Arabidopsis thaliana: one gene and its partner. The protein of the gene in region 2 interacts with the protein of the main gene of each other region in a pairwise test. Each region holds a gene or a part of one and is shown on either strand. Other genes may lie near its edges.

Evidence for each region. The genes of interacting proteins can lie anywhere in the genome.
Region 1: the proteins of AT5G10580 (region 2) and AT2G04080 interact in a protein complementation assay, tested with the Arabidopsis thaliana proteins (one large-scale study listed by BioGRID).

Annotation. Positions count from the first base shown.
Region 1 is NC_003071.7:1,356,624-1,360,939, reverse strand, and holds AT2G04080 (MATE efflux family protein), read left to right. Parts: upstream 1-1,536; 5' UTR 1,537-1,780; coding exon 1,781-2,026; intron 2,027-2,114; coding exon 2,115-2,659; intron 2,660-2,753; coding exon 2,754-2,840; intron 2,841-2,920; coding exon 2,921-2,977; intron 2,978-3,053; coding exon 3,054-3,498; coding exon of another isoform or gene 3,499-3,528; exon of another isoform or gene 3,529-3,562; coding exon 3,563-3,613; 3' UTR 3,614-3,784; downstream 3,785-4,316.
Region 2 is NC_003076.8:3,345,485-3,349,825, forward strand, and holds AT5G10580 (plant/protein (Protein of unknown function, DUF599)), read left to right. Parts: upstream 1-1,896; 5' UTR 1,897-2,026; coding exon 2,027-2,194; intron 2,195-2,600; coding exon 2,601-3,147; coding exon of another isoform or gene 3,148-3,173; exon of another isoform or gene 3,174-3,534; coding exon 3,535-3,572; 3' UTR 3,573-3,649; coding exon of another isoform or gene 3,650-3,799; 3' UTR 3,800-3,814; downstream 3,815-4,341. Other genes in the region: AT5G10590 (uncharacterized protein), read right to left, coding at 3,650-3,799, 3,892-3,984.

The sequences.
Region 1 (4,316 bases), on a different chromosome or scaffold from region 2:
AAATAAAATTATTTCCGCGACACTACTTCCCTTAATTAAGCTTGCCGGTTTATATGTGCAGATTTGACTCACACAATAGACATTAGACAATATAGTATGTTTTTGAAATATATTTTTTGAGGTTATTTCATGATAAGTAATACTGCAAAATATAAATTTTTCAAACATAAATTTATACATTGAACCTCATATCTATTTGTTTCTATTATTTAATTTATTTTAATGACAATGTGTTCTATACTATATTTAAATTTTAGTAAATAATTTTCTTAAATTATATAATTTTTCAATACTTTCTTAATAAACTTCTAGATGTGAAATAGTTTTATAAAAAAAAAAATACATATTCTGGTTATATTTTTTCATATAGAAAAGAAATGGTGTGATTCATATTTTTTCAAGTTTTCTAAGAAATCAAATAATGAGTAAGTCAACAAATAAAATCTCATATAGTGGCTAAGAACTTGAAGTCATTTAGTGAGAAGGAAACCAATAAAAAAATTTACCTATAAATTAAAGGGCAATTAAATGTAAGAACAGTTTAAATAATTAAAAATTATTAACTAAAGTAATGAATCTATTAATTAATTGAAAATAAATATATGTGAAAGAATATTTGTACAAAAAAGCAAATAAAATATCTAGTAGATATATTTCTGAAATAAGTATTTAGAAATTTAATTTTTTGTTTTACTTGATTTTTCAAAATTTTATACCAAAATACAATTTATTTTAATCTTATAATTTTATTTCTAATCAAGGTGTTCCAATTTCATTTCGCTAAATGTTATAGAACCGATCCCAATACGAACGCGAACCTCACTTATCAGCTCTCAATCTCTCAACTCGAAGTTTGTTTGTGTGAATCAAAGAAGAAACAGAGAACAACACACAAGAATTTGTTACCCAGTTCAATCTAATCTGTGTGATTAGATCTACGTCTGGAGCCAGATAGATCCGGCAATCCACTATATGAGATGTTTACAAACTTCTCTGAGCTCAATACAAGATCAATGAAGAACCCTAATTTTCTGGGTTTAAGAGAGATCGTAACAACTTTCTAACGGAATGAAGAAGAAGAAGATAACAGACTTCTATTTATATGTGTTTGACTTCGAGCATCGAAGCCTCTTTCAGAATGAGAGTCTTCCAATCATAACTTCCTTCTTCTGTAAACCAAAGCGAACCGTTTCAATAACCAACTCCAATCTGCTGTTAAACCGAATGTCATCAGACCAACATTAAACCGGAATTGGATCATATTCATAACATTATATCAAACAAGGAAAAAAAAACTATTCACTATTGTCGGCAATAATTAACTTTTTGAAAAATCGAAACAACAAGGCCACCACGTCTACAAAAATCAGAAACCAATTCATGCACATGATATATGTGTTTAATAAATATAATTTATATGGACCCTCTTAATAATATAATTTATATGGAGCATTTATTATTATGGGTACATCATATCATATCTGTTTTTACCTTAATAAATAGAATAACATTTTTTTCTGTGACACACATTGAAGAGAGAAAACTATTTGTCCCACAGTCAATTACGGGTCTAAAATTTGGTAGTAACAATAATACTTTCATATGCATATCTTAACATGAGAAAAAAATGTTTTCACTGGTCGAGCAGAGTTATATATATATTTAGATATTGACGAAAAGTCTTCATTGACAATAAATTACATTGGTTTCGTCCATCAGTACAAGATTGGATATGATCTAAAAAATCAGAGGCAAATCAATCAAGATTAAGAAGACGACAATGGAAGAGCCATTTCTTCCGAGAGACGAGCAGTTAGTCTCTTGTAAATCCACATGGCAAAGTGGTCAGGTCACCGTCGAGCTGAAGAAAGTGAGCCGCTTGGCCGCTCCTATGGCCACCGTAACCATAGCTCAGTACTTATTGCCTGTCATCTCAGTCATGGTCGCCGGCCACATCGGCGAGTTGGAGCTCGCCGGTGTCGCGCTTGCCACGTCTTTCACAAACGTTTCCGGCTTCAGCATAATGGTAATTATGCTATTACTCTCTCCTCTTCATTTCAAGAACTCAATTAACTTTCCAATATTGAAATATTGCTGCATTCTTTTTTGTGTAGTTTGGGTTAGTTGGTGCATTGGAAACTCTTTGTGGCCAAGCCTATGGAGCAGAACAATACGAAAAAATCGGAACCTATACATACTCTGCAATGGCTTCCAACATACCAATTTGTTTCATCATATCAATTCTATGGATTTACATCGAAAAGCTCTTGATCACTCTCGGGCAAGAGCCTGACATCTCTAGAGTCGCTGGCTCCTACTCATTGTGGCTCGTACCGGCTTTGTTTGCCCATGCTATTTTCTTACCACTGACTCGGTTTCTGCTAGCACAAGGGTTGGTTATTTCCCTGCTATACTCTGCCATGACCACCCTTTTGTTCCATATTGCGGTTTGCTGGACTTTGGTTTTCGCGCTTGGTCTTGGAAGCAATGGAGCTGCTATTGCTATTAGTTTGTCTTTCTGGTTTTACGCTGTGATACTCTCATGTCATGTGAGATTTTTCAGCTCTTGCGAGAAGACTCGCGGATTTGTATCAAATGATTTTATGTCTAGTATCAAGCAGTACTTCCAGTACGGAGTCCCATCCGCTGGATTGATTTGGTAAGTAAACCATTTTCACGTGTCTTGTTGGTTAAGTTACAATACACCGATGCTTCCTCTTATCTTGCTTGCATTTTTTTGTCTTCTTTGATAGCTTAGAATGGTGGCTGTTTGAGCTACTCATACTCTGCTCAGGTCTTCTCCCAAACCCAAAACTCGAGACATCTGTTCTTTCGATTTGGTAAGTATCATATTACTTCTTTTTATCCTATGTGTTCTCTTTACCAAAATGTATTAATCTTATGTCTTTCATGTTATCAGTCTTACAATAGGAACTTTACACTATGTGATTCCATCTGGAGTCGCGGCGGCTGTGAGGTATGATCTCAACTCTCAAACCAGAACAAGTGTTCAACAATTCCTTTCTCAACATTAGTCATTTGGTTTCTTGAAGCACACGAGTGTCAAACAAATTGGGAGCTGGAAATCCTCAAGTTGCTAGGGTTTCCGTATTGGCAGGGCTTTGTCTCTGGCTTGTAGAGTCAGCTTTCTTTAGCACACTTCTCTTCACCTGCCGAAACATCATAGGCTACACATTCAGCAACAGCAAAGAAGTTGTTGACTATGTTGCTGACATATCTCCTTTGCTCTGTCTCTCCTTCATCCTCGACGGATTAACGGCAGTTCTAAATGGAGTGGCTAGGGGATGTGGGTGGCAACACATTGGAGCTTTGATCAACGTGGTGGCTTATTATCTTGTAGGAGCTCCTGTTGGAGTTTACTTAGCTTTCAGTCGTGAGTGGAATGGAAAAGGACTCTGGTGCGGTGTTATGGTTGGATCCGCGGTGCAAGCCACTTTACTGGCTATCGTCACAGCCTCCATGAACTGGAAGGAACAGGTTAGAGTTTGTTACATTCTAGTTTTTTGAATGCTCTGAAGTAACTGGACTCTATTATTTGCAGGCTGAGAAAGCAAGGAAGAGAATAATCTCTACTGAAAATGGATTGGTTTAAATAAAGGTTGTTCCTAAGAGCTATCTCAAAGTATTTGCAAGTCATGTGCAAAAAAACATGTAATGTTATTTTGATGGGTTATAATATTTTTTTGTAAAACTTTTATCCAGGATTTATACATTTTTTCTTGAGTTGATATTTTCGTTAGTTAGAAAAATTATTCGAATTGCACATGCTGAAAGATGATTTATTTATTTTCTTCAAACTTTAATATACAAATGTAACAAGTAAATAAAAACTCATTAGTTCCAAACACCATGGGATTAAAAATGGCCTCAGCTGCAATCAGTCCTATCTTTATAAAAAACAACTATGTGAGTCCTATCCATTATCCCAATAAGTCCACTAAAAATGGCCTGTATGGCACAACCAGATTTAACACTTAGTATTAACTTTAAAATTCACAAAAGAAAATAATCTCTCTTATATATGGTCCAAACATAATAACTTTACACTAATGATCCATAAGAGTTTTCACATACATGTTTCTTGACGTAAATCATTAAAAATATATAGATGAAAAATACTTATAGAAGATTCAAATTCCACATAGTCCACTAATGTTATGTCATTTAATTAGTAGGTTTAGTGGTGAAAACTTAATACGAATTCCTACCTTTTTATCAGCCTCAGCTGCACGTTTGAACTGTCTAGTTGTTATTTAAACCAAAAAAATGTTTTTGTTAATTAAGACATTTTTCCT
Region 2 (4,341 bases):
CGTGTTGTAATACTCAAGAGTTAAATTCTGAGAGTCTTAATTAAAAACAAAACAAATGAAATGATGAATTGTATGTACATATATATATTCTGGTTTAAGGAATGTATGTACTTGGTGGATTATTAAATAGAGTTGTATAACTTTAAAAGTAAAACGTCAGATATAGCGTGCGGAATATATATACTATAAGCATCCGATAGATAAGTCGATTCATGCATGAATCACAAAAACTACACCCATTTAGAAATACAGTTAGGTATTTTATCACATGGAAAATTACAAGATAGTTCAATACTACTATTCCACAATCTTATAATTTGTTTCTCCATGAGTAGGCCTAGCTATCCATGAGCATCTATTCTGGCCAGGTTTTAAAAATGGGTGCCTAGTTTTCTAGTACTAAAATATACTACAATTTTATCAAGAAGAATCATCAAGATTTATTGGAACATTCCCTGAATTTTTGGGGGTCATGTAGGTTACTTTCTTTATTCGAATAAGCATGCACATGTTTTATAAATTGTGATGCGTATTTTGGCAAAAGTTTTCCGCAGCCCAAATAAAATCACTAGACCAAACTCGAATAAACTGCATGTATACATAGATGTTGAATTGAACTCTTAGAGATTCAAATTTACAATCGGTTTCTAATTAATTACGCTTCCAACTACGTTTTTGATCTGTCTTATTCAAAAATCAGATAGGGTTTTTAGACACTTCGTTACGGCTCCTTGGTTTTTAAAACCTTTTAAGGCTAAACCTGAAACTCAAGTGGTTTTGTCCATATCTCTCAGCTCAACATATTTATAACTATTATGTGTTTGGTATAAAGCATGCACATATTTTATAGAGAATTTGCATGTTAACGCATCTCTATTTGTAGAGTCCGTAGATATTTAATGTATATTATGTTATCTTCATAAAAATAGTGTGAGCAAAAGGTATAAAAGTAGTCGTATATGTAGAAAGGACAAAGGGTGTTTAATCTCAACAAGCACGATTTTTCTTTAACTACAAGAAATGAACCAACCTTTAGCCAATTGGGTCTGACTCATGTTCAAGAAACTTTAAAAGTTACTTTAATTTCTTTCATTTAATCATTTTTGTCATTAGTTTTATTAAAAAAATATTAGTGCACCTATTCCACGATCGATCGAGATCTAGGATCCTAAGGAGAAATGACCAAATTTTATGCTCGAGTAAACCCGTTTCCTTTAGATGATCATGATTAAAACCATAGTCGATGTAAAATCATCAGTGAGCAATAAATACGAAAATTGATGTTTGATATTCAGCGATGAACATTTTCGACTTGGGATGTCTTTTTGTATGCCAAAAAATAAAAGAAAATAAGAAATGCACTAGACTGAAGAAGACTAGTAACGTAATGACGTGGAGATAAGTTAGGTCATAGTGTAACATGTGTACATAGCATCATCGTCTACAACAAACGTTATATTTCTTAATTTCACCTTTTACCAAAAAACAAACGTTATATTCTGTTATCATCTCTGTGACATGTTCCAAAACCATCTAATCTAAGTCTTGTCTCCTTTATCTACATATACGGACAATTAGATATCACATGTACGAATATACAGGCAATGTGGGACAAAATTCAAAAAAATGTGTCTAAAAGGGGACAAGTGGTCATTAACCTTAATTTAAATTACGGCCAAATGTTTAGTAACTAAATAAATATGGGGTCGAAATGTAAATTCTAAATTATCTCACAAAGTGGGGTACAGAAGTGAACACTAATAAGTCATAAAGAGAGATTTAAAGGAGAAACGAAAAGCATTAAGATTTAATTTATATGAAATTAGTGAAAACCAACCAAAAAGAATTTATATGAAATTCTAAGGGGCAAATTGCGGAACAAAGATTGTAAATAGCAAAAGGAGTTTCAGTATAAATATATGGGGACAAGGGCCATAAAAATAACAAAAACATTCTTAGAGAGCTTTGGAGATAACGAGAACAAGAAAGAAAGAGAAGATTATATACATAGAAAAGGAGAGATCAAATGGAGTGGGAGAAATGGTACTTAGATGCGGTTCTTGTGCCAAGTGCTTTACTTATGATGTTTGGTTACCACATCTATTTGTGGTATAAGGTTCGAACCGATCCTTTCTGCACCATTGTTGGTACAAATTCCCGCGCCCGTCGATCTTGGGTAGCAGCCATCATGAAGGTAGTTATATTACTCAAAAACGATATATATCCCGAAATAATCTTTCAAAAATCTTGTGTTAAGTGATTGTAGTAACTAGTAAGTAGTAATTACTAATTAATCATCATATTAGCGAAAGTAATTAGCTTCATTGAACATATATACCATAATGTTTACTAACTGCAATTTTTCTATGAAAATTGCTTATGCAAAAACTTAGTATAGGTGTCGGCCCAAAATTTTATTAAGTCCGTATGAATACAAAATAAATAAATTTGCATGCATATTTGGCCAATAAGAGACTATAAATCCATACAATGTCATAATATCTCTATGTATACATCATTAACTTTCTTCATATATATGTACACAGTATATACATAGAATTACTTCTCAAATAGTAACAATATACTGTGTCTTTGTTCAGGACAACGAGAAGAAGAACATCTTAGCGGTACAAACACTACGAAACACGATAATGGGAGGGACGTTAATGGCAACCACTTGCATCCTCCTCTGCGCAGGTCTCGCTGCCGTTTTAAGCAGTACTTATAGCATCAAGAAACCTTTAAACGACGCCGTATATGGAGCTCATGGTGACTTCACTGTTGCACTCAAATACGTAACCATCCTCACAATCTTCCTCTTCGCCTTCTTCTCTCATTCTCTCTCCATTCGCTTCATCAACCAAGTCAACATCCTTATTAACGCTCCTCAAGAACCTTTTTCTGATGATTTCGGCGAAATAGGAAGCTTTGTGACTCCCGAGTATGTCTCTGAACTACTCGAGAAAGCTTTCTTGCTCAATACGGTAGGTAATAGGCTGTTCTACATGGGCTTGCCTTTGATGCTATGGATCTTTGGGCCTGTGCTTGTGTTCTTGAGCTCTGCTTTGATAATCCCTGTTCTTTATAACCTCGACTTCGTGTTTTTGTTGAGCAATAAGGAGAAGGGTAAAGTCGATTGCAATGGAGGTTGTGATGACAACTTCTCGCCTTAATTATCTGTTGATGTTGAATTCGAATAATGATAAAGCTGTTTGTTATTACTGATTTACTAGTCTAAAAAGTCTTTCGATTTACTCTTTTCAAAGCTTACCAAAAAAAAAATGTACTAGATCCGAGTCTTTTTTTAATTTTTAATTTTTTTTCCTGGTGAAGATATTCATGATCTGCTATATATAATTAGTAAAAGTTCCATGGATAGTCAAAATGGAAATTAATTAACAAAACTATCTTTTTTATAAAATTTTTTATTACTATGCTGCTAACAAGTAACAATGATGCGACCATCCTTAGTCCCTTACACTTGATTCGTCTATTATTTTTTCTAATTCAAATGTCAATTTTTTAATGGCACAGATACTCGTTTTCAAGTCAATGGAGTGATACTCATCTGAATTGGTCGTGTCTTTTTCCTTTATATTAGCCCTATCAGCGGCTTTAATAATTATAACAGACATTATTATATTGATGATTATTGGGATCCAATGAAGAAAGCGCGGATCACCAAGTTTTTGATCATTGGTATATGCGATTCATCCATTTCATAACGGATAATCATTCTTACGCGATGATCTGCTGAGAGTGTGACAATTATTTGATCGTTTACGCTATGTTCCTTAACCTGGTCATAAACAACGGTATATATATATATATGCGTTACCTTAACTACTTCACAAGCAAGGTTTCAACTTTTCAAGTAAGGAATTCACTCACCGTAGTCTCTGCAATACCAAAATCATCCAACAAGCTCATCGATAAGTAATCTTTTTTGCGCCAGTGAATTTGAACATCTGAAATAGTATCCATCATTTTAAATAGCTATCACCTAGGCATAATTTTCTAATAAACACGAATTCACAAAAGCGTAAATAGATATATTTGAATATACAAGTAGATTACCGGAGTTTTCAAGTATGGATATGATGACGTTGCTAACCTCCGAAGTTATGTTCATCATCTGCACCATAAATTACTTGTAAGAATTAACTCCGAGTGATCATTCACTTTTATACTTTTCATAAATACAAAAATAAAACAAGACAATACTTTTCTTGTTCCTGACACAGAAAGCCTTCCGAGAAGAAGTGCAAATGAAGGTGACGAAACATGAGGAGCTTCTTTGAGTACTAAAGCATGATGAGGAGGTTCAATGTTTTTTGAGTA